3 linked regions of the Mytilus edulis genome follow. The protein of the gene in region 2 purifies or fractionates together with the protein of the main gene of each other region. This does not show direct contact. Links are inferred from orthologs where the notes say so. Each region holds a gene or a part of one and is shown on either strand. Other genes may lie near its edges. The genes, in order: vacuolar protein sorting-associated protein 41 homolog, pleckstrin homology domain-containing family M member 1-like and ras-related protein rab7.

What was found.
Region 1: the proteins of pleckstrin homology domain-containing family M member 1-like (region 2) and vacuolar protein sorting-associated protein 41 homolog purify together in Homo sapiens (affinity purification with western blotting; 4 studies listed by BioGRID and IntAct, with this or other methods). This does not show direct contact. The link is inferred for Mytilus edulis from reciprocal best matches to the Homo sapiens genes PLEKHM1 and VPS41.
Region 3: the proteins of pleckstrin homology domain-containing family M member 1-like (region 2) and ras-related protein rab7 purify together in Homo sapiens (affinity purification with western blotting; 5 studies listed by BioGRID and IntAct, with this or other methods). This does not show direct contact. The link is inferred for Mytilus edulis from reciprocal best matches to the Homo sapiens genes PLEKHM1 and RAB7A.

The regions. Positions count from the first base shown.
Region 1 is NC_092345.1:99,527,582-99,538,478, reverse strand, and holds the start of vacuolar protein sorting-associated protein 41 homolog, read left to right. Parts: upstream 1-4,155; 5' UTR 4,156-4,208; coding exon 4,209-4,232; intron 4,233-8,355; coding exon 8,356-8,409; intron 8,410-8,957; coding exon 8,958-9,053; intron 9,054-9,578; coding exon 9,579-9,662; intron 9,663-10,897. UniProt on the Homo sapiens protein: Plays a role in vesicle-mediated protein trafficking to lysosomal compartments including the endocytic membrane transport and autophagic pathways. Acts as a component of the HOPS endosomal tethering complex.
Region 2 is NC_092356.1:60,482,982-60,494,574, reverse strand, and holds the start of pleckstrin homology domain-containing family M member 1-like, read left to right. Parts: upstream 1-6,574; 5' UTR 6,575-6,735; coding exon 6,736-6,769; intron 6,770-10,983; coding exon 10,984-11,104; intron 11,105-11,593. Other genes in the region: POC1 centriolar protein homolog B-like, read right to left, coding at 6,413-6,529. UniProt on the Homo sapiens protein: Acts as a multivalent adapter protein that regulates Rab7-dependent and HOPS complex-dependent fusion events in the endolysosomal system and couples autophagic and the endocytic trafficking pathways.
Region 3 is NC_092344.1:39,827,161-39,838,891, reverse strand, and holds the start of ras-related protein rab7, read left to right. Parts: upstream 1-7,229; 5' UTR 7,230-7,270; coding exon of another isoform or gene 7,271-7,326; 5' UTR 7,327-7,493; intron 7,494-9,955; coding exon 9,956-10,008; intron 10,009-11,731. Other genes in the region: EEF1A lysine methyltransferase 2-like, read right to left, coding at 468-702, 3,107-3,214, 4,419-4,536, 5,941-6,006, 7,271-7,326.

The sequences.
Region 1 (10,897 bases), on a different chromosome or scaffold from region 2:
CATTTTCTATTTTGTAATTTAAAGCTCCATAAATGGGCTATATAAAGTCGTCCTTACAGTGATTTTTCAATGAAATCCCTGTTTCTCATTGGCTATCTGGAATTGCATTTTGAAACTTTTAAAGACATTCGACTGTTGGTTTTCCCGTTTGAATGGTTATACACTAGTTTTTGGGGCTCTTTATAGCTTGTTGTTCGGTGTGAGCCAAGGCTCTGTGTTGAAAGCCGTACATTGACCAATAATGGTTTACTTTTATAAATTGTTATTTGGATGGAGAGTTGTCTCATTGGCACTCATACCACATCTTCCTATATATATTAAGAAAAAGAATGGTTGAATCTTATAATTATGCAATAATTCTTTTCCTCTTACTGTGGAAAAATAATTCAAGATTGATATAAAGTTATTTTTTTCAGACAAAATCAAAACATTTATTTATTATCCCTGTATTAACATTTTAGGCTCTACTTCAAAATATTAATGCAGAAAATTGGATTTTTCTTGAAAAGTAACATATTATAGAGATATTTGTAGCTCAATTTGGCCTAAGTAGTTCAATTTTGCTTTTTAATACCTAGAAAACCTAAAAAGATCACAGGGAAAAAGGGAACAGTGCATCAAAATGACAAATAAAAAGGATTTTTACCATGCTCAGTGAAAATTGTCGAGCAGCAACACTCACAATGTCATACGAAATTAATTTAAGTTTAACCAGATGCTCTGCAGGGCCAAGCTTTATAAGACCGCAGAGGTCGAACCCTGAACAGTTGGGACAAGTATGGACACTACATTCAAGCTTGATACAGCTCTGAGATTTGGATTATGATTAAATAGTTGACACAGCAAAGGTTTCTGACACAAGAATAAATGTGGTCTAACGAACTGAATTTTTTTTTCCTTTTGAGCAATACTCTATGCTGTTGAATATAAATCCCCTCCAAAAAAAATATTTGAGAAAAATTCTTTTTAATTTCTGAAATCTGAAATGAGAAAAATTTTACCCCTAAACCTCCCCATTTTTTTTCACCTCCCCCCAATCCCTTATTCCAAAAATAATCTCAATTCAAATTTCTAATTAAGTTGGCAACAATAACTACTCATTTAAAAACATCATAAATTTTTAAAATATAAAATAACTTACAGTCATGATTAAAGTTAATATCAATTAACAGTAACCTCTAAAAAATAAATTTACAGCTTCATGTCTCAAGACAATTATCACTTCCTTTAACATAATTTTCAAGCAGTGTAAGGGAGGTAATCAAACATATATATATACAAATGTAACAGTATTCTTTAAATTTTAATTTGAATTGGATTACCTCCCTTACACTGCTTTTAAATTGTCTAAATTGTCCTTTAAACAGAAAAACCCTTGTTTCCCCCCTTTTTCCACTATTTGCTTAATGACCACCTTTAGGGTATGGAAACTTCAGAGAGATTTATACTCTTAAACACAAGTTATTGACTGAAAATTACAAAAATGCTTTAAAATTTGGGCCCCTTTTTTGTCCCCTCACTTATTGAAACCCCCCTTAGAGTCATAACCCCAAAACTCAATTCCAGCCTTTCCTTTGTAGTAAGAAACCTTCTAGTATAATTTCAGAGAGATCCATACACTTTAACACAAGTTATTGTCTGTAAACTAGAAAAATGCTTCTTTTTGGCCCTTTATTCCTAAATGTTCAGGGATACCTAAACTGACACCAAACCTTCCCTTCACTATATGGAACCTTGTGGTACAATGTCAGAGAGATCCATACAGTTAAACATAAGTTGTTGTCCTGAAACTTCAAAAATGCTTGTTTTTGGCCCTTAATTCCTAGACTGTTTGCCCCATAACCCTTAAAATATATCCCAACCTTCTACTTAATGGTATAAACATTGTGGTACAATTTCAGAGTTATTGAAATACTTATACACTACTTATTGTCCTGAAACTAGATAAATGTATGTATTGGGCCCCTCTGGACCCCTTATACCTAAACCGATGGGACCATAACCCCTAAAATCAATCCCAATCTTTCTTTTGTGGTTATAAACATTGTGTTAAAATTTTATTGATACATATTTACTTATACTTAAGTTTTTATCCGGAAACAATCTGTCTTCAGATGAGGCTGACGATGACGCTGACAACATGATACCAATATATGACCGCAAATTTTTTTGTGGTCATATAAAAAGTAATAAATACAATACCTATGCATGTATAACAATAAATGAACACCAAAATTATATTGGAACTTTAATTTCTAAACAATTTAGCACTTGATGGAAGAATAAAAATAAAGTCATTGAGTTAATAAGGGGAGACAATTTTAATCACTGTAGGATAAACTGCAGTCTGTACAGTTAGCCACTAGTTTGATGCCCCAGACTACATGTAGTAAATATTGCTTCAGACTAGTGAACATTTTCAAAATTATATATAGTCATATAATGACAAGTTATGATATTTAGTTTTCCAACTAGTAGATTGTGGCACAGACTGAACTGTTAATTGCTCCAAGTTTATGAAAAAGACTTGCAAATATCTGCCTTATATGAAAATTCTCTAATTATGAATAAAAAAGATATTTATAACAAAAATACCAACAACACTCACAAGATACCTGAGTGTGGTTGTACTTACCAACCCCTTTAGTTTTTAGTGACACATATACTACTCCCCTCCTTAGTTTATAGCTACATGTATACAAATTCTCCCCTTTGATATGAGTTTTTAGCTACATATGTACCAACAAATTGTTAGCTACATATTTAAAGATAAAACTAAACTAAATACAACACTCACAGTTCCCAGAGTGTGGTTAGACTAATATGTAGGTTTTTTTTAGCTACATATTATGTTCCAACTCTCAGAGTCCTCTTTAGTTTTTAGTTACATGTACATATATTTTTTCTCCTTCAAATTGTTCAAGGCAATACTCAGTATAAACACAATATATTGAACAGATAATTCTATTTCAATAAAAACTAATACATCCCCCCCTTTTCCACCCCAAAAATATAAAATAATTAAAATTAAATCTTTACTTCAGGTTTTCATTTTATTTTAGTCATATGATATTTTTTCTTTAGAGTTAATAGTAGTTTTTATAAAGTTACTAAAAATGACAATCTGGAACAACCTACAAAAAAAGCTGCATCATTTAAACCAAGATTCATAATATTAAACATAAAATTATTAAAATATATATTTTTTAAATAAATCTTTATGTTCTCTGCTAAGAATTAGCTCTTATTATTTTGTTTACTTTTATTATATCCATGACAACAGACACACAATTGTCAGCATCCATTCTTACTAGTTTTCACATCCTCTCAGCATCTGAATCAGAATAGAATGGCATCCAAAAAAATCAATAATTTCATTTGATGCCAGACAAAGACGGAGATAACTGCCATTTCCACGTTCAATTTTCATCCACTTTCATAATTTTTGCGCATTTACTTGATAAATTATGATAATAAAATGCCATAATATATACAAAATAATATATGCAAACCAAATATAATCAGCATCTCTTACCTAAAATTTTCTCTGTAGCCTGGAGTGGAATGCACGCAAATAATTGCATTAAACTATGAAATCGAATAATATTTTACATGATTTACTTTAATGTCACAAATTGCAGCTTATGAACTGTGTATTGACATGAAAGCACGTGGACTTTATAATAAATTATGTTAATTTTTGATCAACATAAATAAATATTAGATTAGCTGTCCCAACCTACCTGACCCACGACAAAAAATAGTTCTATGACTCAGCGGACTGATATTGCTTACAAAAATGTTACTGTTTCCAAATATAGATTGGGGCTACCAATGAGGAATACAAGAAAATTATATAAATAAAGAAAAAATGATTACCATAAATTCTAACCATTATACATGATCCTATATCAATATTTATAAAATTTGCTCATAGGTTCACTGCTTCTTAAAAATATGACTTGAAGTTGCTTGTTTAATTGATTTGACCGAATAGCCCACAGGTGCCTTGTTTAATACGGATGAAAAATATAGTGCTTCAGATAAATATTTGTATTTAAAATAAATGATCAAAAAACAGTTTCAAAAGTAAGAAAATAATTTACTTTGAGTCAGTTCTGACAAATTCAATGTGATTTAAATTTGATTTGATCAAATGAAACAACCGCATCCTGAAGTCATGTGACTGCGTTTGAAGTCTGTACAAAATGGCGTCTGTTGATGAGTTTGAGGTTTGTCTCAAAATGAAAATACAATCTACCAACATGAGTACCTTAACCATTAATTAATGATAGATACTCAGAGCTTTTTAAATGCAACAGAGTGGTATGGCCTGTCTACATAGGACATGTAGCGGAGGTTTTCAATTCCAGTTTTCACCCTTTATTAGAATTTGGGTTTTGCAAAAAGAATTTTTATATTTTCCTTGACAAACTCAGTTATTATAACTTAAGCACATTATGTGTTTCAATTTATCCCTGTTACATTTTCCAGTAAGAAGTTGAACTCATACTTGAGTGATTTAACAACCTGCACGGTAAAACAGCAAGTTTCATCATTGTCCTTGAATAAAAGTAAATAGTATTTCAAATCTAAATAGTTAAATTAAAGCTATTTATGCTGTGACTGTATACAAAGTGGCCAGTTATTGCCTAGTGAGGCTGCTACTTTGGGCAGGGTACATTGGCTAATCTGACCCTGCATGAACTCTTCAAGTCTTGGTGCAGCTGCTACTATGACTGGCAGTACAATGTAGGTTCCAGTACTAGTCTTTATAAAATGCTGGAAAAAGGAGTTGATGTGAACTTCCTTTTTTGCTCTGATCTGACAACGTCCTGGGAAAGTGTTGCTGTACTGGTTGTAGACAAAACATGATGTTTTTCGCTGTACCCTTTCAAGGATAAGATCAAGGTTGTTTGATGGGGGACAACACTGGGACTATGCAACATACATGTACCCAATATATTATAAGAACTCATCTTTCAAACAGAACTACTGTAGCTACATAATAATATTACACGCTTAATCAACACGTGTCTTATGTCTATCTCTAGATTCGCCTTCTGTGACAAGGTAACACTACCACTATTGAAGTTATATTTTTATATAGTGGATGTGGTCGAGAGCGCCGGACATGAGGCTTCAGCAATTGGTGCTGTAGTGTATCAAAGGTGTGAGTTTGAATCCTGCTAAGGGACAGACAAAAAATTTGTCAGTAGAAAATCTAACTCTAACACTGTTGGGTGTAATTTTCAGACTTATATAAATATTTGTATTAACTATGTATCTAAATCACTCTGAGATCCAGTGGGCATATATATAATATTGTATGGTTTGTCACTTGTTTAGACTTGTTTTTATGATATATAAGACAGCATAGTGACAGCAAAGTCACCTGAAGGCTTATAAGCATCACTGTATAGCCACATATAGTGCTAATTTAATTGATTCCCTGTATCCATTCTACAACATATGTATACAGGGCTTCCAAAAATATTTGAGCCAGCCGAACATTTTTGTCTTATTCAGATTTAATCCCATAATTTAAAACTTAGTAACAAAAAGCAACCATAGTAATCAGTTGGGCATCATGAATTATGATTAACACAAAAACAGTATTTGATTTGATTTCTGATATAAATTTGATGTTCTGACACTAACTTTTAAATTGGCAGTGTACCATTAGCATTGTGCAACATCAGAGTATTTATATCTGTGTAAGACTCTTTATTTTCTACAAAATTACGCTGTCAATAATATCTTTACTTTGGTTTAAAAAAAAAAGTACTTTTCCTATTATTGGATGTTGACTTGACATTGGTAAAACATGGACTAGAGACGGATATCATGGATATGTAAAATTGGTATTCGTTTTAATAGCACGATTGAGATTAATTAGATCTTTTCACATTTTTTTGTACAAGAAAAGACTCGACAAGAACGTTGTCTGCTCTATGGTCGGGTTTTTGTCTCTTTAACACATTCCCTATTTCCATTTTCAGTTTTATCAATGATATTTTTTAGCATTATTGAAAATTTCGAATGCAAAATTTAATCTCACACCTGCGCACATACGCATGAGTGTACTAGGTCAAACAACAGGGTCCTGACAATTTTTCTAAAAAACACTTTATTACTACTTTTTCAAATTTTCATCAAATCATATTTACATAAGTTTTCTGGTAATATGAATCTTGTTTGGATTAATTAATTAGAAAAAAAACCCTGAAATTTATGAACTTTTAATAATAGATCAATGTCCTGTACAAAATAGTTTACCTGTCGCCTGAACAGGTAAATAAGCTGTCAGAGAAAATAATTAATCTTGATTGTAAGGGATGACATCAAAAGATCAATGTAGGATAAAAAACTTAAATCAAATAGTTTGGGGGTGGGGGGTTAAAATTCTGCAAGTTTTGTTTATCTTAAATCGATTTTTACATATATCCCTATTGGTAAATCAATGTTTCCCAAATTAAGTTAAGAGGGGGGTGGGGGGCTCAGTGAAAAAACTATGTGAATTTAAAAGTTTTTTATCCTACATTGAACTTTTGATGTCGTCCCTAAGGATAGGGTATTAGAATTCGGATTGTTTTGATAGTAATTATTAATCATGTCACTTATATGACCGGAAATGTGTAGCTATTTGAGGCAAACGGTCAGGTCAAAAAGATCGTATAAACTTTTTTTTCTGAACTATAATAAAATGTCTATTTTTCCTCTAAACTATTTTAAAATGACTGTTTAGCCTTGGCACAACAAGTCATCTATATAATTTATCGGACTTGTAAGTAATATATAACCGTTTTGGAAGCTCTATATGGATTCTTACCACTGTTAGGCCAAATAAAATAGTATGCGTAGTTCCAGTTACATCGTACAAAAAGTCAGGGTTGGTACAATGTAGATAGGTTTTTTTATTTTATTTTATGTTATTTTTTTATGGAAGCAACATTCTGACTTTGACATGTTTAACAGTTCTTAATGAAAAATGACAGACAAATCTTTAGGTATTCTATTTTTAAGACTAAAATTTAGGGTAGGTACATTTAGGGTAACTGGAGCCACACATATATTTTTATTTTGCCTTATAAAAACTTGACAGCTCATTGGGGTTTCTCTGCATAATACACTTTTAATGGCCATAAAATTCTCATATTTTTGGGATACAATTGCTTTCAAGCAATCTGTAGACTTACGGTGGCTCAGAGCATTGCCCTCACGTCAATCGTTTTATTCTAAACATTAAGGAACATCTCAGATTCTTATGATTGTCTTGCTTTAAAAGGTAAAAACAAACAAAGGGATTGAACTTTACTATAATGTTCTTTTCATAATCTTCATGTTTGATAATTCCCTTGACTTATATGCGTGTTTTAAACAACACGGAAAATCAGAATTAAGCAGTATTTATATTTAGTATTTTTATAAATTTAGAAACACGTCAGAGGGAATTCCCAGTTTTGATAAAATGCGAGAGTTCTCTGAATTCCGATAAATCTATTTCTGTCATTTAAGAACTGAAGTGGAGTTTGTCTTGTATGTTACCGTTATGAAACTGAATTTTGAGATTGTACTTCCATGAAGAAATAGAGAACCATCTAGGTTGTTTATAAATAAACACTTAATATACGTTCTTGCTCCAGGGTTTGTTTTGGAAATTATGCGCATGTGTTTTTTTTTTCTTGACTTCTAGGGGTTTTAGATTGAATGGTTGCTCTGGATTCTCCACTCAATTAATTAATTTATAACTCGTGGAATCTTTTCTATGTATGTCTGCTATTGAAGGTTATTGTTATTGCATAATTTTAAATCATATGCATCATTTAAATTAAAATAAATGTAGTCCTCATTGTAGAACACCCCTTCAGGCGAAATGGAGTCTTCCATATTATGGTTTCGAGTTGTCTCCCTTCCGGAAGTAACTTCCGTAAATTCTGAATCAAAACAACACGTCGAGTATTAGCTCTTCTGTCAATAAACGTCGTATTATATTAAAAAACGATCGCAATTTAAAGCGAATTAAATATTTAAAGAGTTAGGAATGGGGTTCCTCCTAGAATTAACGTAGGAAAATAGGTGATAAGATACGAAGTGAAATACCTTCTCTCAGTCTGAGTCTCAGTGACTGCTGTGGAAAGTAAACTTGGAATTGATTGTACAAAAATAAAACATAGGCCTGATTACATTGTTCATACACTTTTATCCGTGATTGGCTATTTTGTAACTATTTTAAATGTGCAGTTTTGGAAATATTATTATCCAGCTACATGTATACACGTGTCAATGAAACAACGGCAATTGTATCCCTCAGAGCAATCTGCTCTTTGATTATATGATTCTGTTTATTTTCAGAAAACTGAGGACAGTACTGAAGAAGATGAATCAGAATCAGACGAGTCAGAGGAAGTAAGATGTTTGACAAAGTTCTGATTATTTTATTTAAGAAATATTCATTCATCTATCATGTCATGCATTAAGCTCATTTTAACATGGGTTGTGATTATATTTGGCATTTTTGTTTATACTGAGTGTTAGTGAAGTCAATGAGGTGTTTAATGTTGACAGTTGTTATGAATATTTACCCATGATGATGTTGAAATAAGCAAAGAGTGTTGCATGACAGAGTTATTTTGATTCTAATTGAAAAATTAACAACCTTTTCACTTTGAAGCAGACCTATAAGACACCAGCTTTGATTTAATGTAGCCAAGACATTACAGAGAACAAACCATTTCTTGATTAAAACTCACATTCCATATGAATTATATTGAAAGAAACAAAAAATGTTACTAAATTTAATAGTTAAAGATAATCATTTCTTGTTATAGGGAAAAGATGAACTATGCTGACATGTTAAATAATTTTTATTATCTGCAGTTTCCACAACAAATTTAGGTTTATCTCTGTAGCTTTGAATTTATCCGGTTTACAGATGAATGTTAATATTTTTTCAGGAAGAAGAACCTAAGTTGAAGTATGAAAGAATTAGTAATGATTTAGTAGATATATTAAAGAAAGACTGTATAAGCTGTTTAGCTGTGCACTCTAAGGTATGTCAAACATTCAGTCATGGTCTGGCAGGTTTGGTACAGAATTTTGATCTCAAGGAATAAAAGATTCTGATCAAAAATTCAAAAAGAATCTCCTGCCAAAAAGTTAAGAAGTTTATCTTGATGTATATTCGTATGAATCAAAGAAGTATACTCTTAAGTGATATCAACAGGACAACATTAAGAAATCACACAACATCCTAAGGTCAACTGACTGCCTTCAATTTTTTGTCCTCCAAAGTTGCTACATTGTATTTCTATATATACATTTGTCAGTTTTTTTTATAGTTTTGATAGTTAGAAATGACAACACAATGACACCATTACATTTTCAAAATAATGTTAAATATAAAACAAGATTTGAAAAAGCAATTAAAAGTTCATATAATTTCCTGAAAACGATATACCTTACTGTCATATTAAACATTTTGCATAATGATGTGTGGCTATGAAAGATATTTTTGGTTTCCATCCTAATGTTTATCATTTTCATCTAAATACAGCTAAGTTATATTTTTTATCCAGTTTTTAGCTGCAGGAACACACTGGGGTATGATATATATTTTAGACCACATTGGATGTCATATCAGGGATACAGAAATTACAGCAGTATGTACATAATAAAATCTGACTTACTTTCTTTGTAATAATGTAGTATTTTTTATTTCAGTTTTTATGACATAAAACCAAAATGACATATATTGTAGCATAGTCTTATTAAATTCACATTCATGAATACAATTGTCCCAACACTTTATAATTGAGAGATAACCATTCTGCACATGATAAATGTACATGTTCTTTTCAAAGTCATTTTCTGGATTTTACTTTATGTGTTTTTTTATACGACCACAAAAATTGAAAAAATTTTGGTCGTATATTGGTATCAAGTTGGCGTCGTCGTCGTCCGAAGACTTTTGGTGTTCGCACTATAACTTTAGTATAAGTGAATAGAAATCTATGAAATTTAAACACAAGGTTTATGACCACAAAAGGAAGGTTGGAATTGATTTTAGAAGTTTTGGTCTCAACAGTTTGGGAATTAGGGACCAAAAAGGGCTCAAATAAGCATTTTCTTGGTTTTCGTACAATAACTTTAGTATAAGTAAATAGAAATCAATGAAATTTATACACAAGGTTTATGAACACAAAAGGAAGGTTGGGATTGATTTTGGGAGTTGAGGTCCCAACAGTTTAGGAATTACGGGCCAAAAAGGGGCCCAAATAAGCATTTTTCTTGGTTTTCGCACAATAACTTTAGTATAAGTAAATAGAAATCAATGAAATTTAAACACAAGGTTTATGACCATAAAAGGAAGGTTGGGATTGATTTTGGAAGTCCCAACAGTTTAGGAATTAGGGGCCAAAAAGGGGCCCAAATAAGCATTTTTCTTGGTTTTCGCACAATAACTTTTCAGGGTTCGAACTCTGCGGTCGTATAAAGCTGTGCCCTGCGGAGCATCTGGTTTAATCAGTGGTTCATAGATTTTGAGTTTGTAGTTTCAAACATTGTGAATAATTCACTCATTATAGATAACAGGGTTTAAATTTTGTATGTCAGACACACATTTCATCTACAACAGGCTTATCAGTGAAGCTTAAAAAAAATAAAGTAGAAAGTTGAAGAGCATAACTATTCATTGTAAAATATAAAGTTCTTTGAATAACAATTTGATGACTTTGAGGACACAAAAATTGTACATTTATAGTATATGAGGTTAATTTAATGTACAAAGTCAGGTAATTTTAATTCCTTTATAATATAAACTAAATCAGTATCAAGATATTTCAACATTCTATGATTTTGATGTTTCAGGCTATTGAGGTAAAATATATGTGAAGTT
Region 2 (11,593 bases):
CCGTCGATAACAGGCGGTGCTAATACTCACGAGTACAGCAATTTCCGTATAGATAATGAAAGGCAAATGTGTGATCCTTGAATTTTGTGTTCGTAAAAAAGGCGAAGAAATATTTACATACATGGCAGTGTTAACAAAATCTACAAGCATTTATTTTGTCACATTTCAGTATATGAGACTTCCAAACTGTTCCCTTTGATTTGAAGGTAGTGAAGTCAGCAGCTGTAGTTTCATTTTGTTTTCGTTTTTTAACGGGCTTGGACATTTGCCAAACTGAATAAAATCATTACAGCTGATTTCCTAATGTTTGCAAAGTAAAACTTTGGTTGGCTTGCTTGCTTGCTTTGTGTGTATACATGTAGTTGTTCATACAAGCTTTGAAAATAAGATTGATATCTTTAAACAATATATATAGGCATAGTTTAACTTGCATATTTCATATTTGAATTTAATTGGTTGTTATCCTAATATGATTGTACAATATACAAACTAACCAAAGTTTTTCTCTACATGCATTAAGAAATAAGCTGTAATGATGTTATTATATGTATGTGCGACGAGGTTGAAAATTTGATATGTTTTGTGAAAATTGCAGCGCTGGATCTAATATAAAAAAGAAGATGTGGTATGATTGCCAAGGGGACAACTGTCCACAAGAGACCAAAATGACACAGAAATTAACATTTATAGGTCACCGTTCTGCCTTCAATGAGCAAAGCCAATACAGCATAGTCAGCTATAAAAGGCCCTGATATGGCAATGTAAAACTATTCAAACGAGAAAACTAACGGCCTTAATAATATAAAAAAATGAACGAAATATGTAACACATAAACAAACGACAACCACTGAAATACAGGCTCCTATATATACAAACCTATATACGTTTTTATTTATTAGATAGATTTTTTCTCCTTTTATATATTATATTCATTGACATGATTGATATTGGGCCGGGTTTTTTTTTTTTCTTTTTTTTTTTGTGTTTTTTATTTTAGATTGTTTTACACAAGTAATTTTTGGGTCATTTATAGCGTACTTTTCGCCCCCCCTCCTTTTTTTTTGAACGATCAATGCATTTGAATGGGGACATGTAGTTTGAACCCCCATCCCCCCTTTTGTCCTTGGTTAGGACCCCCCTTTTTAAAATGACTGGATCCGCCCTGCCGCTTTCATAACACTTATTTTAAGCATACTGAATATTATGATGTTCTTACTTTCAGTTCAGGTCCTGATAAAACAAATACACATCCAGTACAGAAAGAAGTGTTTCAATGAAAGTTTTCGTGTTTTTCTAGGCAGAAATGATTTTGGAATGACATAATACAGGTTTAAAAGAGCTCAAAAAATTTCGTAGTGGAAAGTGGTCATTTCATCTGAAATTTCACTGTTTCAGGTCGTAAAATTATTGCACAGGTACAATGCATAACAATGGGAAAAAACCTGTTCAACAACTTTAACAAGGCGAAAAAGAAAGTCGAATAGTGAAGCCCATAAACAATACTTTTTTAATCTGAGCATGCAAATTGAAGATTATGTTATATATTTTACAATAATCACATTCGCAGAACAAAACCATATATTTAGAAGATCCCAGACACTATATTAGTTGACAGTTCTTCCACTAATTCCACATGTTTTCCGGTTGTAGTAAACTTGTAGTAGCCCACAATGCATTGTAGCTCATTGAGTCGATTGGTCAGTTTTTCAAGGTCGTATTGGCCTTGTGTTTGGGAAATTACTATGCAAATATATTCTGACGTAAAGAAACCTAGAGTTCTCGACCTGTTTAAAATCTGACAAGGTCAAAGATGAAGCTAGTAATATATATCCTTGGTCCCTTTCTGCTACACAAAAAAGGTTGATTTTAATAATGCGCAACAGTGACTAAAGCCCTCAAAATCCTAGCTTAAACCCTGCAATAGTGGAAGTATTTGGTTGGTTTGAATACTTTTTTAAAAGTGGTTTCAGCACTATGACATCTCAGAGGAAGGGGTCACAGAAAAATATTACATGAGACTTCCAAGGTGTCATAGTTGCATGTATCTGGACTATTCAGACTATTATGGCTTTTTGTCCGCCATTAGTCATTAATGGATATCACAACTGTAGGTTCCTGTAACATTTTGACATCATAACACAAAATATCTGACGCCACAATGGAAAAGTGATTGTTGTATGACGTCAATTGTTCAAGCAGCCAGGTCAGTAGGGAATAGCGATATGGTGTATTCAAGGCCGTAGCTACCCTTGAGGCAAGTGAGGCAATTGCCTCACTAAAATTTCGACACTGATTATTTTTTTTATACATATATATCAATATAATAGCCATTTGTTGTTCTGTCTCAACCTTAATTTCTATCTGAGACTACTATAACACATGTGTAGTCTCAGTTTCTATATAACTTGTCCGATCATTCCTTTTAAACTATTCTTCCTGGATATAACTCAGCATCTCAACGGGTCATGTTTCTCGATAACATTAACCCAGTAATGATAATCATCATGGATCTCTAGTTAAAAACAGGCTCTTGCAGAAAAGGAAAAGTGACACTGAAGGTAAAGAAGGAATAATTCTAGTACACTAGTTTTTTTGGGAACAGAGTCTGAGTATTGTATATAACTTCATTAGAACAATCCAAAAACGATAAGTAGACTGACAAATCAAGTACTGGTATTCGGAAGGGGGCAGTTCTGTCTGCGTATTCATTTCTCCGTTTAACCAACTTTTGACAAATCAAGTCATCGGAAGGGGGCAGTTCTGTCTGCGTATTCATTTCTCCGTTTAACCAACTTTTGACAAATCAAATTATCGCAAGGGGGCAGTTCTGTCTGCGTATTCATTTCTCCGTTTAACCAACTTTTGACAAATCAAATTATCGCAAGGGGGCAGTTCTGTCTGCGTATTCATTTCTCCGTTTAACCAACTTTTGACAAATCAAATTATCGCAAGGGGGCAGTCCTGTCTGCGTATTCATTTCTCCGTTTAACCAACTTTTGACAAATCAAATTATCGCAAGGGGGCAGTTCTGTCTGCGTATTCATTTCTCCGTTTAACCAACTTTTGACAAATCAAATTATCGCAAGGGGGCAGTTCTGTCTGCGTATTCATTTCTCCGTTTAACCAACTTTTGACAAATCAAATTATCGGAAGGGGGCAGTTCTGTCTGCGTATTCATTTCTCCGTTTAACCAACTTTTGACAAATCAAGTCATCGCAAGGGGGCAGTTCTGTCTGCGTATTCATTTCTCCGTTTAACCAACTTTTGACAAATCAAGTCATCGGAAGGGGGCAGTTCTGTCTGCGTATTCATTTCTCCGTTTAACCAACTTTTGACTAATCAAATTATCGCAAGGGGGCAGTCCTGTCTGCGTATTCATTTCTCCGTTTAACCAACTTTTGACAAATCAAATTATCGCAAGGGGGCAGTTCTGTCTGCGTATTCATTTCTCCGTTTAACCAACTTTTGACAAATCAAATTATCGCAAGGGGGCAGTTCTGTCTGCGTATTCATTTCTCCGTTTAACCAACTTTTGACAAATCAAGTCATCGGAAGGGGGCAGTTCTGTCTGCGTATTCATTTCTCCGTTTAACCAACTTTTGACAAATCAAGTCATCGGAAGGGGGCAGTTCTGTCTGCGTATTCATTTCTCCGTTTCACCAACTTTTGACAAATCAAGTCATCGGAAGGGGGCAGTTCTGTCTGCGTATTCATTTCTCCGTTTAACCAACTTTTGACAAATCAAATTATCGCAAGGGGGCAGTCCTGTCTGCGTATTCATTTCTCCGTTTCACCAACTTTTGACAAATCAAGTCATTGCAAGGGGGCAGTCCTGTCTGCATATTCATTTCACAAACTTTAATCTTTCTCTTTACAGATAAATAAAATATAAATAATATGAAACATGCATGGATTAGTTTCTATCCATGTTTCTTTAACCTTAAAAATTGAAAGAATAGCCCATATTCCAATTTGATATTATTGAGAAATGGTAGAACCTTTAACACAGGATTTTGTCTTTACTTATTCGGGACTACGGAATTTTGTTTCTTTATATTCGGGGTTTCGGAATCGGACACCCCATACTCCTAACCCCTAAATTTATAGATTCTGGAACTAAAATACCACCCTGGAACTATTTTCAGAAATAATTTGAAATTATGGACCTATATGTAAACGTCAAAAACTCCATTCCAATTCCCCTGTACCCATATCATATATACTCTATAGATAGAATCATATACATTTATCTTATCTCATTCTATCCCTAGTTTGTCTACTCTTTGTCAGCATAAAAGCGAGTTTAATATTTTATAACTGCAACTGTATGATGGTGCTTACAGGAAAGCTTAATTCCCTTTTGCAAACAAAACTGTTACTACCGAAGCTGCTACCAAATTGCTGATGGCGAAGAAATTGGAAGAAGACATTGATCATTGTGTTGATGATAATGTGCTTCCTTTAGAAACACAGACTGCCCTGAAACGACTAAAAACTTGGAAAAAGAGCATGCATGAGTGGCGAGAGATTGTGTGGGCTTGCCATGTTCATCGCGATAAGGATATCAGCAGACTGAATTATGATTCTGAAACGAGTTGACTGAACCGGCCATAGAAAAATTTGGCAAACTCTACTGAATCGATGTTTGTTCTATGTTCTGGCAGCAGACTCAAATCAGTGATATTTGGATGATTATCTTATTTATAAATTTAAATAAAGTTGTTAAAAATTTGGTGTTAGTAAAAGTCTTAAAATATAAAAAAAATATATAAAAAGTGTCCAAATTCAAAACATTATCAAACGCTCTACAAATGCCTAGAATGCAGGATTTTGCACCATTCATTTCATATCCTCAAAAATAAATTTTCGCCTCACTAAAATAAGATGCCTAGCTACGGCCTTGGTATTGCGATATATGAATTTTACCGGAAAGTGCATGAATACAACAGATGCTATCCAGTACAGGTTTTTCTTGTTATTTTCAGAACAGTTACACACACTTGCTTAAGTTATCTAGTGTCTAGAGGATATTTATCTCATTGGCAGTTAAATGCATTTAACCTCATCTTATCATACATGTTAATGTTATCTTATATTGTGTGTTTTAAGTAAATATATGAAAATCTAGAATAATACTGAAATATAAGTTTATGGTATCAATATCAGTTTATAATGTATTTGTATCGTCTTGGTACCTGTTTTGACGCGGACCAGAAATGACGCACCAATTTAGTTTTGGGTTTTATATTTCTAAACAAAAGATGTGACGTCATCGATAATTACTATTCATAACATGATGGTGAAGGTCATATGACTACAACATAGATGCCTCAAACTCTGTCCAGAAATGTTATTATTGCTTGAATTAGTAAAGATAATGCAATTTCTGCCATTTTATTAAGGTCAAAAACAGTCTACCCTTCCCAGAATGATTATCAGTCCTAAATCCACTTTGGCCGGCAAAAGTATGTATGCACATGCTGCCCCAGTTTGTGTTTTTCAAATCATATGACTGTCATGTGACATGGTTTTACATTTAAGCGGGAATCACTGTAGAACAAATGATCGTCGCTTATATAATTTTCTATTGTTTATCGATTTTTTTCATTCATTGTACGAAGTATACATTGATAAATGTTTTAATGTCAATGTTGTTTTATGAATGCAATTACTTCTTATTTTCAAGTATATGGAATATATATGTCACTTTGATAAATTTTGAACAATTTTATATAAAATTTGAAATAAAATATAGGTTACAATTAAATTAATGAAAAAAATTGTGTTGCTATCAACATGATCATAAAAGTGACTGTAAATGTCAAAATTTGTTATTAAAATTAAATTTGTTGAAAAGTGTTAACTTTAAATTATCCGGATTGAAGCAATTTTTCGAACATCAGGTACACTGCAAGTGGTTTTTACTGGTTTGTTTATAGTGCGTCATTACTGGTACCCATCATAAGTTGACAGTCCGTTTGTAATGTTAGCAAACATGATTTTTATTGCTTTTACTGTTTCAAAAATCAACTGTTTAATGATTGAAATACATTAACAAGTGATCAATCTTTCATTCTATTCCGTGTTTCTTTTTCTTTTAAATGGTAGATTAAATGCAGAGACAAACACAACGTTAGGTGCGTCATTACTGGTTCCTCGGGGATATACATAGAATTGGCTCATGACTTGTTACATGAATCTTTATTTCATTTATGTGTTGTTTTAAAATTATAATTGACTGTATTTGGATCACGCCTCTATTGTGCTCTTTCCAATAAAATATTGAATTGAATTGAATTGAATAATGTTATGCCAAGTAAAATAATAAGTTTAATTCTAAAATTTACTGGTCTAAAATTATGTTTGTATATTTATATGGTCAATGTCAGTTGAAAAACAAAAAAATGCCCACTTTGTTGAGTTCTTCATCTGTCAAATCTCTATCTAGACTTTCAAGATTCTCAATCTGTCGAATTTTCTTCCTAATTTTACGAAGTTCCAACGCGGCACCTGTCCTAGCAGAAGCCATTTTCCAACCGGAAGCTAAGGAGAATCCAACATTCGAATTTTTCTAGCTTGGTCGACTTTAAGGAGTGAAGAGTCAAGAGGGACGAAATAACCGGAAATAAATAAACCAGCTGTAGGAACACCCATCACGAGAGGAACGCAGAATAACAAAGCACTTATATATGATCTTTTATGTTTATCAGTCTTTACATGTTATGTTAGAAACTAATGAGTCTTTCAGGGAAAATTTTCAAGAAGCGTGGTAATTTGAGGAACACTTAAAAACACTGTTAAATCTCAAACAAAATGTAGCATAATTTCAGAGTCGAAGAAATGATGTGAAAATCCATGGATGGTACCAGCGGGATTCGAACCCTCAATCTCGGGATCCAAAGGCAGCGCTCTAACCAATTGAGCCAAAGAAGATCTTCCCTAACTCAGCGAGTTAGACTACCTTTATATCCCCAGGTCTACAACACTCTTCCCCTTTTTCTTTTTTCAGGCTGCGTACCATCCATCCGAGCAACTCACAGGTCCACTACCTGTACAACCCCGAGACATCTACTCGGAAATCCTCTGGCCAGTTCCACCTAGATATGTCATGGTCATCCTATGACCGCTGGTCAACCACCATGACCCCATATCTAACTGCCAGGCACCTATATAACACTTGTTTGTACAAGTAGTAATTATTGCTCACAGCGCCAATGATGTGAAAATCCATGGATGGTACCAGCGGGATTCGAACCCTCAAAGAAACACCTGTCATAATTTCTATTATTATTAAATTTATGGTACTACAGTCTATATTATCATATTAGTATAAAAGCCAGTATGTAACACTTATTTGTAATTTTTCATTCAGTTGAAAATACAAAATCAGGGCCGTAACTACATGAATGTACCTATGAGGCAGGGGAGGCATTGCTGCCCTGAATTTTCTACTCCAAATTTTTTTCTTGAAGTAATCAAATGAAATATTGACAATATGTACACGAAGAACTTGAATTTATGTTATAAACAACACAAGTTTACAGTTTTAACAGTGTTCTCACCAGTGTTCCACTACAAAAAGCTGGGGCACTTAACGCACAATTCCAGTCTGTATTTACACCAGCATCTAATATTTCTCATACAGAATTTGTCAAACAGTGTAACATGCCACAGAATACTTCTTTTCCACCCATATCAAAATTAATAATAAAAACAGAAGGTATACAAAAACTCTTACATAACTTAAATCCAAACAAAGCAGCAGGACCAGATGAAATTAAACCAAGATTTTTAAAAGAACTTTCACATGAAATTGCACCCATACTCACTATTATCTTTGAGAAGTCAATCAAAACAGGCGTTGTTCCAGATGACTGGAAAACTGCCCATGTCTCTCCTGTATACAAAAAAGGCCAAAAATATAACCCTGAAAACTACCGTCCTATATCACTCACATGTATTTGTTGCAAACTTTTAGAACACATCGTAGTAAAACACATCATGAAACATGCAGATAATCACAACATTTTATATCCCCTACAGCATGGATTTCGCAGAAATCGATCCTGCGAAACACAACTATTAGAATTTATAGACGATGTCTCACTAAACATGGAAAATGGTAAACAAACAGATATTTTGGTCATGGATTTTTCTAAAGCATTCGATAAAGTTTCACATTCTTTTTTAACTAATAAGCTTCATCATTACGGGATACAGGGGGAATTAAATTACTGGATACAAAATTTTCTTAGCAATCGCAAACAGGCAGTAGTTCTAGAGGGGGAAAAATCTGAGTATGTTGCAGTTGAGTCAGGGGTTCCACAGGGGTCAGTTCTTGGACCAAGTCTTTTCTTGTTCTATATTAATGACATTCCATCTGGTCTAACATCTACAGTACGTTTATTTGCAGACGACACAATAGTTTATTTGGCAATAAAATCAAACTCCGATGCATTAACACTACAAAAAGATCTTGACAAACTGGCATCGTGGGAAACTACCTGGAAAATGGCATTCCACCCAGATAAGTGTAATGTAATTTCAGTCACCAGAAATAAAAAACCAATCACATTTAACTACACATTACACAATCATTCTTTAGAACATGTAACAACAGCAAAATATCTGGGGGTCACCATCAGTTCAAACCTTAAATGGGATGTGCATATTAACAACATATGCAAGAAAGCTAATAGCACACTAGGCTTTCTAAAGAGGAACCTGAACATAAGTTCAACATCCATTAAAGAGCAAGCATATAAGTCCCTAGTAAGACCATCACTAGAGTATGCTTGCTCTGTTTGGGATCCATACTTACAACAAGACATAGATAGCATTGAAAAAGTTCAAAGGAGGGCTGCGCGTTTTGTTACTAACAAATACAGAAACACCTCAAGCGTTGGTAACATGTTACAACATCTTGAATGGCGCAGTCTCTCTGACAGAAGAAAAGACTCCAGATTGGTAATGCTCTACAAAATTGAACACGAAAAGGTTGCAATCCCTAAACAAAATAAATTAATTCCACAAAAAAGACAAACAAGACATACAAATTCGAACAGCTTCCAAATTCCATCCTGCAAAACACAGTACAGAAAAGAGTCATATTTTCCAAGAACTATCACCGACTGGAACAAACTACCGGACAACATTGTAAATTGCACTTCAGTCGACTCTTTCAAATCTTCAATTTCAAAGCATCAATATTAACTTAATTACAACATCTTACTTTATTATACAAAACATTTTAAATTTTTAATTTTTCCTATTTTTTAAAAATTGTACATTTTTCCAATCTATGTCTTGTTGTAAGTTTCCTCCTGTGACATAATCTTCAATTTGTTGAAGGCGGTCACTATATGGTAGAATAGAATAGAATAGCCCATGGCCAGTAGTCAACACTCCGGTGTTGACATCAATATCAATAATGTGGTCATTTTTCTAAATTTCCTGTTTACAAAACTTTGAATTTTTCGATACACTAAGGATTTTCTTATCCCAGGCATAGATTACCTTAGCCGTATTTGGCACAACTTTTTTGGAATTTTGGATCCTCAATGCTCTTCAACTTTTTACTTGTTTGGCTTTATAAATATTTTGATATGAGCGTCACTGATGAGTCTTATGTAGACGAAACGCGCGTCTGGCGTACTAAATTATAATCCTGGTACCTTTGATAACTTTTTTATCATAATACGTGATATCTGTCATTTTCCGGATTTTTTTTTATCGAAATTGGACCGTTTCAGTATTTTTTAATTTTTTTTTTCGTGTGGCTACGATAACACATCTATGATTAAAACCTTGCTTTCGACAAAATTGAATAAAACTTAAAACCATTCACATTTATTTAGGGGCTCAATTAAGCAGAGAAAGTTCCCTTATATATAATGTATTGTGAATCTTTTATGATATCGGAAATTCATTGCCGATTGTTAGCTGTTGGGTCATTTTTTAACGTCTTCCGAACGTAAGAGAATATTATGGTCAATGCCTTAGTAGTTTTAAAAACACTCCTAATTGTTGTAGCAGTGACTTTCTATACTAAGTATATACTAGTAGAAAGTCCCTGGTTGTAGTTATATACATGTCTGTTCTGAGCTTTCAACAATATTGAAATTCAAGGTCCTCAATAAAAAAAATATCTTGCGTTCTATGAACTTACTTTACATGTATTTTTAAGTTACCAGCTTGATTCCTAACAAAAATGTATTTAAAAACAGATAATAATTGGTTACATAAAAATTTCTTCAAGGATCCAGCAATACTGTTTCTTTTAAGAAGTAAGGAAATCGAAGGAAAACGGGTGATTTTTAGCCATATTGAGAAAAAAAATCCGCGGTCACAATGTATTTAATGTTGACAATAATAGGTTAAAGTATGGTCTCCAAGACGAAGCCTTGGTTAACCCCGAACAACAATCTCAGCTTGTTTTTGCATAAAAAATGCTTCCAGGTTCAAGCAATACTGATGTTTCTTAAAGTAAGGAAATCGAAGGAAAATGGGTCATTTTTAGCCTTTTTACTGAGAACAAGGATATAACAATCCTTGCTGAGAGAAAAAAAAATCTTTTAGGGGCGGCCCCAAACCGTCATCAGTAGTTACAGCTCTGCATCAGTGCATGAGCAGTACCCCTATCCTACACTCATTGATCAGAAGAAATCTCCAAATAAGCAGTGACTTTCAAAGACCAAGCATACCAAACACATAATAAACCATAACTTTAATACTGTGGTACTGCTTAGGCTCCTTAAACAACTGAGAACATGTATTAAAAAAAAGGTACAAAGACGTTAAGCAAGATGTGTTGGGTCATACTTTCTGGTGGCCTAAAATTGGCGTATTCATGTATAAAATATTGTTTGAAATGTGTTTTTTTAAATTTATTTACATGTTTTATATTCGCCTTATAAAGCTATTTATTTACAATAAAAGTGATTTATGATGGATATAACAGATAATATTTTTCATATTTTTCAGGACCAACAAGAGATGAAATCATACGAGAAACTAAGATAAAAAGAAAGATATCATCAGAGTTATCTTCGGCAATTAAATCTCTACAACAAGAGCATTGTAGTACAGGGGAGGCAATCCTTAGGTAAGTGAACCGTTTTGTGAAAATATCAGTTATACCAATTTTCTAAACATCTTCATATATTGAACTTATTTTTAGTATGTGTCATAATAATGTGAGTCTTATATCTGGTACCACTGCATTGATTTGTGCCTGAAATAACTGGGTTTGTATTTTGAACATGTTGAAAATTTCATGATAATAATTATCATACAGTTACAAAAGAGGGACTAAAGATACCAAAGGGACAGTCAAACTCATAAATCTAAAACAAACTGACAACGCCATGGCTAAAAATGAAAAAGACAAACAGAAAAACAATAGTACACATGACACAACATAGAAAACTAAAGAATAAACAACACGAACCCCACCAAAAACTAGGGGTGATCTCAGGTGCTCCGGAAGGGTAAGCAGATCCTGCTCCACATGTGGCACCCGTCGTGTTACTTATGTGATTACAAATCCGGTTAATAGTCTAATTCGGTAGGTCACATTCATGAAAGGGAAGGG
Region 3 (11,731 bases), on a different chromosome or scaffold from region 2:
CACAAAATATTACATATAAACTAAGCAAAATTTTCAAAGTCAATAGACCATGACTGAAGGGATGAAGTCAAATATTCTCCATGGAAATGAAATGTGCTAATGCTGATACAACTGAAGAACAATTAACATGTTAACTAAGCAAAATTTTCAAGTCAATAGACCATGACTAAGAGGGCAGAGCCAAATAATCTCCATGGAAATGAGATATGCCAGAGCTTATACAACTGCATACCAAATATCATTGATCTACCACTAGTGGTTCCCCATAAACTGACCTAATAACAAACTAATACATGTATGATAAGCAAAAGTTTCAAGGTCAATTGACCATGACTGAGAGGGCAGGGCCGAAAAAGTCTCCATGACAATGAGATGTGTACATTGTTGACACCAACGTCGCCGCCAGAAACAGCAAACCTATGTCTCGCCTTTTGACTCCGTCAAGTGATACAAAAATATCTTCATACCTGATCCAAAGAATTCTACAAGCTGATCTTGTGTCCAGTTACAAGAAGTAATGATAAAGACGCTATCATCAGACATTAACCTCTTCAGTGTTTGGAGGTAGGATTGTCGTGCTGGTATTTCATCTGAAGGCATCAAACTGATTGCATCATAAGTACCTTTATCTACACATACTTTATATGTATGACCAAGACAGGTGTATTTCTTGTTTGCATCATCACAAATCAAATCTGCCACCTGAAAAATAAAAATCAACATGTTATGTTTTATGAGAGTCTACTGTAATCTTGGATTGCAAAATAACAGCACTTAGTCAGCCAAGATTTAAATAAAATAGACAAAAAATCCATTAATTCCTGATTTTTTTTCGTTCTAATGAACAAAGTTAAGTGATCTTATTCGACTTAAACAGAATATTTTTGATTGATTCAAAAGATTTATCAATGAAGATGATAATAGAAGAGAATACAAACTTTTTAAAATAACAGACAAATTGCAGATTGTGTCAAGGGAGATAACCTGTTAAGAAAATGAATTAATAATGTGTTTAAAAAAAATAATAAAAGTATTAAATTAAAAAGTATAATGCAAAAGGCTGAGACAGATGATACAGCAAAGATTTAAACATGAGTTGAATTAAGAATAGCCAATAGATTGTGACAAAAGCTCGAATTGGGATTGCAATGCAAGATTATTGTGACAGGGGAGACAACTGACAAAACAATGGAAAGCAAATACATTAAATTAAAAAGTATAACTATAATGTGAAAGGCTGAAAATATATCTCAGCAATATATGTTAAACTTAACCAATCAATTGCTATAAGGGGATAAATCAATGGATTGTGTTAACATTGAAACAATAATGGAACATAACAATTAATTTTCTTAAAAGCAGATTGTACATATAACTATTAAAGATTCAGGAGTTAATTATAAATTGACTGCTTTTATGAACCAGATGCTCCGCAGAGCGCAGCTTTATACGACTGCATAGGTCGAACCCTGAATGGTTGGGGCAAGTATGGACACAACATTCAAGCTGGAAACAGCTCTGAATTTGGATTGGGATTAAATAGTTGACACAGCATAGGTTTCTGACACAGAATGAATGTAGTCTAATGAACTTAAAAAATTTTTTTTTTTGCTTTTGAGCAATTAACTATGCTGTTGAATATTAATCCTCTCAAAAAAAAACATTTAAAGAAATTTTCTTTTTAATTTCTGAAATCTGAAATGAGAAAAATTGACCCCCCCCCCCCAATTTTTTTTTCCACCTCCCCCTTTCCCTAATTTCAAAAATGATCTCAATTCAAGTACTTATGAAGTTTGCAACAATAACTACTCATTTAAATACATCATAAAGTATTAAAATATAAAATGTCTTACAGTCATGGTTAAAATTAATATTAATTAATAGTAACTTCTAAAAAAATATATGGGGAATGTGTCCAAAGGAACACAGACATGTCCCTGCTTGCATATAACGTTATAAAGGGACATAACTTAACAACTGTAAAAATGAAGCTGCCAAAAATTGAACTTAAACTGAGTTTAGAGGTTATAAGCATTACATACCCATTTCATTAAATTTAGTTAAGACAAACTTAAGTTAAGAGAACAGAAACAAAAAAAAAAAATCTTCAATTTTTTCACTTGTAAAGGGGCATTACCCTAGAATGGTAATCAAAGTGCTTGTAATCACTGATAGTAAAGATTGCTTTAATTTATCAGTTGGTAGTAAAGTGAATATTGCATTGTATTTTGTATATAGCATTGACTTAAGTTGATTCAATTACTATTAATATTGACAGAGAAAGATAACTCCAATTTTAAAAGAAGATTTCATAAAGTATTGGTTTTAGGTGATTCAACAACCATTCTGGACAAAGAAAGATAACTCCAATTTATTGTCTTGAAACTACAAAAATGCTTGTTTTTGGCCTCTTTTTTGTCCTTTTTTCCTAGACTGTTTGCCCCATAACCCTTAAAATATATCCCAACCTATTACTTATGGTATTAAACAATGGGTACAATTTCAGAACAATTGAAAAACTTATACACAACTTATTGTCCTGACACTAGATAAATGCTTGTTTTGGGCCCCTAATTTCTAAACCTTAGATAACCCCCAAAATCAACCCAAGCTTCCTTTTGTGGTTATAAACATTGTGTTAAAATTTGATTGATTTCTAATTACTAAAATTGTCCTGACACTAGATAAATGATGGTTTTGGGCCCCTTTTGGCCCCTAATTCCTAAACCTTAGGGACCATAACCTCCAAAATCAATACCAAGCTTCCTTTTGTGGTTATAAACATTGTGTTAAAATTTTATTGATTTCTATATACTTACCGGTATACTAATGAAATTATCCAGAAACCATACGTCTTAAGACGACGACACCGACTACGATGTGATACCAATATACAACCGCAATTTTTGGGGTCGTATGAAAACTACAAGAAAGCTGAAATTTCTATAACTTTTTTGCAGAGCAAACAATTATGTCTAAATAACAAAAAGCTTAAAACTAAATGCTGACATCACAACTGTTTGTATTGGTTAACTACTTTGACCAATCTTTTAAATTAATCAGGTTGATATCATATTTAAAAAAATAAAAAGTGAAACATCCTTACTTCGTATTTTATATTTTCAACATTACTGCCTACAGCTATAGACTTGGCTAATTCTATTCCACCTTCAGAATAGTCAACTCCTGTCAAATTACTGTAACCTCTCTGGCTCTAAAGTATAAAAAACATATATATATATCTGTTAATATTATTAATATAGTTTTTCATTTTATATCTACATGTACTATGATTTCCATGGAATATTTCAAAATTGTAATGATTAGTTTTTTTTTCTGTTCATGTAGATGATACTTATTTCATATCTTAATACTAATATCAGTGGCTGAGCAGGTTTTATGGATAGCTGAAAATCAACTGATCGTAATGTTTAAATATGTTTTTTTGGATCACTGTCTGATTGCTGTACATTTAACACTCTTTGTTCATACAGATAGGATGTTCCAAAATTACCCTATCACATTTTTAGGGATATCCCAAGAGACATGTTAAGCTAACCATTTTGCACTTGGCACAAATGACAGGCGCGGATCCAGAGGGGGGGTTCCAGGGGTTGGAACCCCCCCTTTTTTTTGGCCGATCAATGCATTTGAATGGGAGCATATAGCTGGAACCCCCCTTTACTCTGGGTTGTGAACCCCCCCTTTTTAGAATGGCTGGATCCGCCCCTGAATGATTACATGGTCAATCAGTATTAAAAATAAATAATCTTTTAAGATCCTAACAATAAAGCAAAAATTATAACTTTGAATATCCCAACTCTTCCAGTGCGTTATTGCTTTTGGGTTACAATGATATATTATAACAAGTATGAATATATAAGTTGGTATTTGTGCCCTCTTCATTTAGAAATGTTACTGTTACCATATATACTTTTCATAAATTTGTCATCTTAATAAATTCAGGAAATGCTTTATATGTAACTTTGAAAAAACATAAACCTTCAATATTTATAAGAATGAGTGGTGATGTCATGTTTGGCAGAGCCAATACTATTGTACTAATAAAACCAAAAAATGTATTTAAAAGTGATTAGAGATATGAATTACATTTAAAGAGATATGGTTGAGAGGTTCAGCTTGCTTTAAGACCAGGTTTAATTCACCAATTTCTACATAATGAAATGCCTTTACCAATCAGAAATATGGCAGTTATTTTCCATTTGATTAATGTGTTTGAGCTTTTGATTTTGCCAATTGATACTTAAGGGACTTTCTGATTTGAATTTTCCCTTTTTTTAAAACTTTTTTCTGACTTTAAAGAAAGTTATAAGTACACTACATATATTTACTCATGTTAGTCATCAGTAAAGAAGAATGTAAAACAACGTTCATGGACACAACAATAAGCAAACTACCAATTCTACAAGGAGCATTCCATTGCCACAGCCTAAATCTATTATGGAATCATCTGATTTTATTTCCTCATTATCTTCTATCCAGTCCAGTATTCTTTCCTGACTATCCTCTCCAAACCTAAAATTATTGAACAGGTATTAGAACTTTTTCTTTCTATAAGCAGTTTTTCATTTTTGGCATCTTTATTCTTACTTCTTCTCCTCCGATCAAAAGCATTTTATGTGAAAACTTAAAATATTGTGGTATGCATCATTTATTCAAGCAGCAGAAACAAAAACAAAAGTAACATGAAGACTTTTTCTTGAAAAAGATACGATAAAAAGAGTTTCTCCTCATTTTGCTCATAACTAGTTTTACCAACAAAATGTGTGCAAAATAGTCATTTCACAATATGTCAATTTTGAAGATGTTTATAATGTCATAGTGAAATCACATCTTCAATTTCTATTCTAAACTAGGTCAGTATCATTTTATTTTTCATTTATCGATTGAACCATGTAATATTAAGGAATTGGATTAATATTACAGTTTTGGAAATTTCAGGGCCAGCTTATCATATCTCATTCACTTGTATCTCTCAATAAACGAAGAACAAAAACTTATGCGCTAACTTATATGGAAACAAACAGACAGCTATCAAAATAACAATGAATAAAAATTTTGTTATTAACCATTTTAGCCAAGAAAAAACAATCAATATCATATTGATAGTTTTTTCTTAGCTATTATATGAAGTTTCCATATAAGCCTCAATAAAAGTTATAAAATAAAGTTGACATAAATAAACAAAAATTGTTGTTTTTTTAACCAACAAGAAACAAATGTTTTTTTTCACCTAAGGCTATTAGTTAACTCTTTTCCATTGTTTTACATATCATTATTGCTATTGAAGCCAATTATAGCTTTCTATGAGGTTTGTTTTGCTCATTGTTGAAGGCTGTACAGAGGCCTATATTTGTTGACTACTACATTATTTGGTCTTTGGTTGAGAGTTGTCTCATTGGCAATTTAACCACATCTTCTTATTATTTATTAATACTAAATGTTTGTGTTCACTTACATTGATCTTTGCAAGTTCAAGTATCTATCATGTCTATATCCAACATTTGATTTATTACTATTCATAATTTGATCATATATAGAAATATGAAGATGTGGTATGAGTGCTGATGAGACATCTCTGCAGTCACAATTTGTAAAAGTTAATCATTATAAGGTCAAAGTCTTAGTACATTCTTCAACACGGAGCCTTGGCTCATGCCGAACAGCAAGCTATAAAGGGCCCCAAAACAACTAGTGTAAAACCATTCAAACGTGAAAAACAACGGTCTTAACTATATATAAAAAACGAGAAACGAGATACACTTACATGTAAGAACCACATCAACAAACTACTGAACATGTATGCATATTAAAGAATATAGAAGATATGTTTATAAATATGCCACAACATAATCCCTTTCCAAGAAAAAGCAGAAACGTTTTACTTTTCTTAACCTAGTTTTTCATTTAATAATTTACCAGATCTCTCCAACATCACCTATATCTTTAAAAGCTTCTAGTTCTTTTTCATATGTGGAATCCCAGCTGAAAAAGAAATATGAGGATGTCAGTTTAGACATATGTATAAGAATTAATAATGTACTGGTAAAAAGAAATAAGCGATCATTAATCGAATAATTTTCGAAGGACATTAAATATAGCTACATTTTGTATTTAGGAAGGTCCTCAGGATATTCATACTATACTGGAGTGGCAGTTTTTTTTTTTTACAGAAAAGAGATAGCACAAAAACAAGTACAAAATGGTGATTAAGAAACCAGATCTCAACGAAATGACAGAAAAAAAAATCTGAAAAAAAAAAATTTGTCCTAAATCCCAATTTAATGTTTAGGACAAATCGATTTTAGATTTGGTCATGACTGGCAAATTAACCGTTTCAGAACCTTTATCTCTAATTTAGTAAATAATTGACGTCAGTGAAGTTGGACAGATGTCTTGTACAGTACTTTGTTCACATCTATCATCGTTTACCATACTACATGTAATTTCTTGCGGATAAAGTTTCACTATCATGCAGCCTTGTTGTTTCAGTATACTTAAATTTCGTTTTTGCTGTACTCACAAATCCATTGTTTCCTCAAATAAATTCAGTTATAAAAACAATTTCTAATTAATTCTTGTGGACTCATAGTTAAGGAGAACAACACCACCAACTTTAATTTGTTCTTTGATATATCCATATGCTTTTTGATATTCTCTCAATGCTGTTAAATAGTCATCTATTGTTTCACCTTGTCAAGAAGTGTCTTTCTAAATAAATAAACTGTACATGCAACTTTTCTTCCTTTATTCATATATTCTTGACATCCTGGTCACGGCACCAAAATTTTGACATGTTGAGAATATGTGAAGGAAGAAAACCTTACCTGTTATAATTTTTTAGTAATCTATAGAATGCCCAAGTATACAAGTGTAAGGTCAGAAAGTCTTTACATTACAATACAACAACTTAGGGACCTTCTAGTGTTGTGTACGTGCCATATTTACAACAAAAGGAGTTAGCAATGTTACCCGAGTAGAACTTCAATGGTACGAGATGATATAGTACTAGTTTACAACGATAGGAGTTAATAATCTTCAATGAAAATAACTGGTTCAGTCTCCCTTTGATCAGTTGATTTCCATCATTCATTCATTGTCTGACAACTTTATATATAAAAAAAATATATAGTCTTTACAGTCATCACTATTTTGTGCCTTATAATCAATAAAATTACATACTGTCAGAAAACTTTATAAATCATAATGTTTACAGTAAACGCATTTGCTTTTGTGCACACGTGCTTACTGTTCAATAGTGCCTAATGATGATGATTCAAAATCACGTTGCCCTGGACCTGACATGTCAACAACTTTGGGTCGATATTGTAAGAGACCTTCCGAAAAATTATTCCGGAAGTAAATAAATTTTGACGTAATATGGGTCACGCGACTGCGCCATTTTGTAGGAGTTTTGATTATTAACAGATCTTACAGCTGAAGTAACCTATTTATTCACAAACAAAAACAAGGTAATTTAATTTAGAAGTAAGATCTGAACTCATATTTCAGTTTGATCGCTATTGTCAGTCATAAAATTGCACAAGAACACCAGAAACGACTGTTCAATGACACCTAGTTTTTATTTTATTAAAATGTTGATCAACAGGACAAATATTGAAATAAACTAATCAACAAACTGTATAACGTCTGATTATACATAAAACTGCTAAGATGTCTATCATTCTTGCAAAAGAAGGAGACTTTACTTTCGTAAATAACACAAATAAAAAATCACAAAAAAATACCTAGAAACATGACCTCAATAAATTTGATGTTGATCAGCTGATTCATTTAGAGCCCAGATAATTTATTGTCAAGTCTGTTTTCTTCTTTTTTCAATGAAAGAGTGACATGAGAAAAAAAATTGTGCCACACGGGGAAAAATGCTCAGTCTCGAAATTGTATGATATGTCTTCAATAGTATGATATGTGTAGCTGAGTAACTTGAATACATTTTTACAGTTTTACTTCAGTCTGAAATCATGGCGCTGCTCTACAATCATGACAATGGCTACTTTAACGTTTGAATCATTCAGAATCATCCATAGACCTCTTTCCAATGTTTGCGCCTTTCTGTAATTTTCATATGTCTCATCATTCTCATTGCTGATGTTATTACTTCACAGTACATTGTACAGTAAGCACCAACAGTTCGTTGTCCTTTACTTTAGGCCGATTCACTCATTCATCTAAAACAAATTGAAATTGGTATAAAATTTGAAAACAATAATTTTTTTAATAAGTTCAAAACACTAATGTAGATCAAATTGATCCGACTGCTGATATGCCAACTGTCATGTACATGTTGTATAGTCCAAATATTATGACGTCTGGCAAGGCTATTTTAATTTTTTTTCTTGGACGCCTTCCTACCACGTCATAACGCTGAAGCCATTTTTTACGTCTGGAGTTTGAGACCTAATTTTGCAGCGGCGGATGCAGGAATTTTCGAAACGGGGGGTGCTAACCCAGGGAACCCAGGGCAAAGGGGGGGTGCAAAACATATGTCCCGATACAAATGCATTGATCGGCAAAATTAAAGGGGGGGTGCGCACCCCCGGAACCCCCCCCCCCTGGATCTGCCACTGTTTTGATGTGAAATTTTCATCGCTGGTTAGAAATTTTTACTTTATTACAAATTTTTGTGCATATTGATGTAAAATATTTCCAGAAATATCCAAAAGAAATGATAAAATAAGATGTGATTCCATTTCAAGTGGGCAAATATTTATTTTGTTTCAAAGAGATTTCCCACAATTACCAAAGAAACGTGACTTCCGGTGAAAATAAAATTTAAAAATCGGTTAAATTTGAACGGACCCGAATTTCCGAAAATTGGCCAAATATTGTAAATCACAGGATTGCAATTATTATCTAACTTTTGAACTTATCAGTTTTGTTGTTTTTTATCCCTTCAGAAGGCTAAAACAATAACAAGAACGATTTTATTTGTGTTACTTTGTTTATATGATGAAATCAGCTAATGCGCAGTATCACTGGCCGCACGGACACCAGGGACATCACTGTATTAGACAATGAGTATTAGTTTTATTACCAGTCATAATCATGTAAAACCAACTTACTATGGAATTAACATTATTTGTGGGATACCAATTATCATGGATTTCATTGGTAAAGATGGAACACGATATTGAAAGTTTTTGAAGTTCATTTTTTCTTCATGCTTGTAGCCAAGTATTGGCAAAAACAGGATTTCAAATACATGTACAAAATGTATCTGTGAAAATACCGATTTTCCTAAATCCATGAAATTAGATGAATCCACAAGTACAGCGTTTATGTACATGTAATATGAATAGACATACACAGATTCCCGTAAATTTTGGACGGCATAAAACAAAATATCTGACGTCACAATGGAAAAGTGATTGTTGTTAACTATAAAATTGATATCAAGTATTATTTATATAACATTTTTTTGCAAGGTAGGCAAATTCAGGTTGTCATGAGCCTCTAGTTTCTAATGTGAGTAGGCTATAAAGACATTGATTTAGATGTACATCGTCATGTACCACACATTTTGTACATCATTACATTGTTGTATTTCTTAAACTAATGATCTGAAAGTAAACATGTCATGTACATGTCAGGACTAGGTCAGGAATGTGGTCAGTGGTTGCTGCTGTCTCTTTATGTTATTGTGTCAAACTGTCAACGGTATTGAGAATATGCTATGATAACCAGCTTTTCTGTTAAAATGCTTGAATTATGCCTGAAAGTTGCAATTTCCTTCATTTTTCTTGGAATCTATGTATACATATATGCAAATAAATAAAATAGAGATAGATGAAAAAAAAAGATTTCAATATTAATTTGTAGTAATGCAAGTTAAAAAAATAAATAATATCTTTTATAGTAATTTGAAAACAAAACATGTCAAAATTTTATTAATGGATTATTATTTTTTCAGATGGCATCAAGAAAAAAAGTTTTGCTTAAAGTTATTATATTAGGGGACAGTGGGTAAGTTGAGAAGTCACTTTAAGAAATATGTAAATGAACAGTAATAGTAATACTGTATTTATTTATGCCATCACAACTTTGATGAGGAGTTTTCTTGACAGCAAAACAGTGGTCAATCCTGTATTCCAGTCTATTCCTTGATGGTGTCAACATTTTTGTTCAGTATGAGGTTCATGTTTCTTTTAGGGGTCATGATCATGATCTGTAACTTTGTCAAAATTTGATGGAATTTTACAAAACTGTCAATAGTTTGACAGAAGTTAAGGTTCCAATTGTTAAGGATTAAAAAAAACTGTATCAAGAGCAAATGTTATGAAACTTCATGTTCAAGAAGTAGCATCTGAACCTTGTCTTGGCAAATCCCCGAAATGATTTTTTTCATATAAAAAAAACTTTAGTAATAGTATATTGTAAGATCCTAATGTAGAACTGTACACATGTTCCCTATGACATTATCTTTCTAATTTCTATGCCACATTAGATATTTTACCCAAACTTCACGGTCTACTGAACATCAAAAATGATGGTGGGGGTAGAACATCCGTGTACTATGGACACATTCTTGTTTTCTGTTATCAATTCAAACACTCAAACGCATGAACCCCTACCAAAAGTTGAGGGTGTTCTTATGAGTCCAGAAGGGTTAGCAGTCAGATTCTGCTCCACATGTGTTGCCTACCCAGTTGCTCATGTACATATACATGTCTGTACAAATTCCGTTACTACTCGTATTCTGTGATGTCACATTGGAGGAAAAGAGGATGTGGTTGTGGTTACAACAATTGATACATTTCCGTTGTCATTTATTAATGATGTTTGTTTTGAATCAAAGTACACATAAATGATACATGTACAACATATATTGGATTATTTTTAGCTCACCTGGCCCGAAGGGCCAAGTGAGCTTTTCTCATCACTTGGCGTCCGTCGTCTGTCGTCGTTAACTTTTACAAAAATCTTCTCCTCTGAAACTACTGGGCCAAATCAAACCAAACTTGGCCACAATCATCATTGGGGTATCTAGTTTAAAAAATGTGTGGCGTGACCCGGTCAACCAACCAAGATGGCCGCCATGGCTAAAAATAGAACATAGGGGTAAAATGCAGTTTTTGGCTTATAACTCAAAAACCAAAGCATTTAGAGCAAATCTGACAGGGGTAAAAATGTTTATCAGGTCAAGATCTATCTGCCCTGAAATTTTCAGATGAATCGGTCAATCGGTTGTTGGGTTGCTGCCCCTGAATTGGTAATTTTGAGGAAATTTTGCTGTTTTTGGTTATTATCTTGAATATTATTATAGATAGAGATAAACTGTAAACAGCAATAATGTTCAGCAAAGTAAGATCTACAAATAAGTCAACATGACCAAAATGGTCAGTTGACCCATTTAGGAGTTATTGCCCTTTATAGTCAATTTTTAACCATTTTTCGTTAATTAAAGTAATCTTTTACAAAAATCTTCTTCTCTGAAACTACTGTGCCAAATTAATCCAAACTTGGCCACAATCATCTTTGGGGTATCTAGTTTAAAAAATGTGTGGCGTGACCTGGTCAACCAACCAAGATGGCTGCCACCGCTAAAAATAGAACATAGGGGTAAAATGCAGTTTTTGGCTTATAACTCAAAAACCAAAGCATTTTGAGGAAATCTGACATGGGATAAAAATGTTTATCAGGTCAAGATCTATCTGCCCTGAAATTTTCAGATGAATCGGTCAATCGG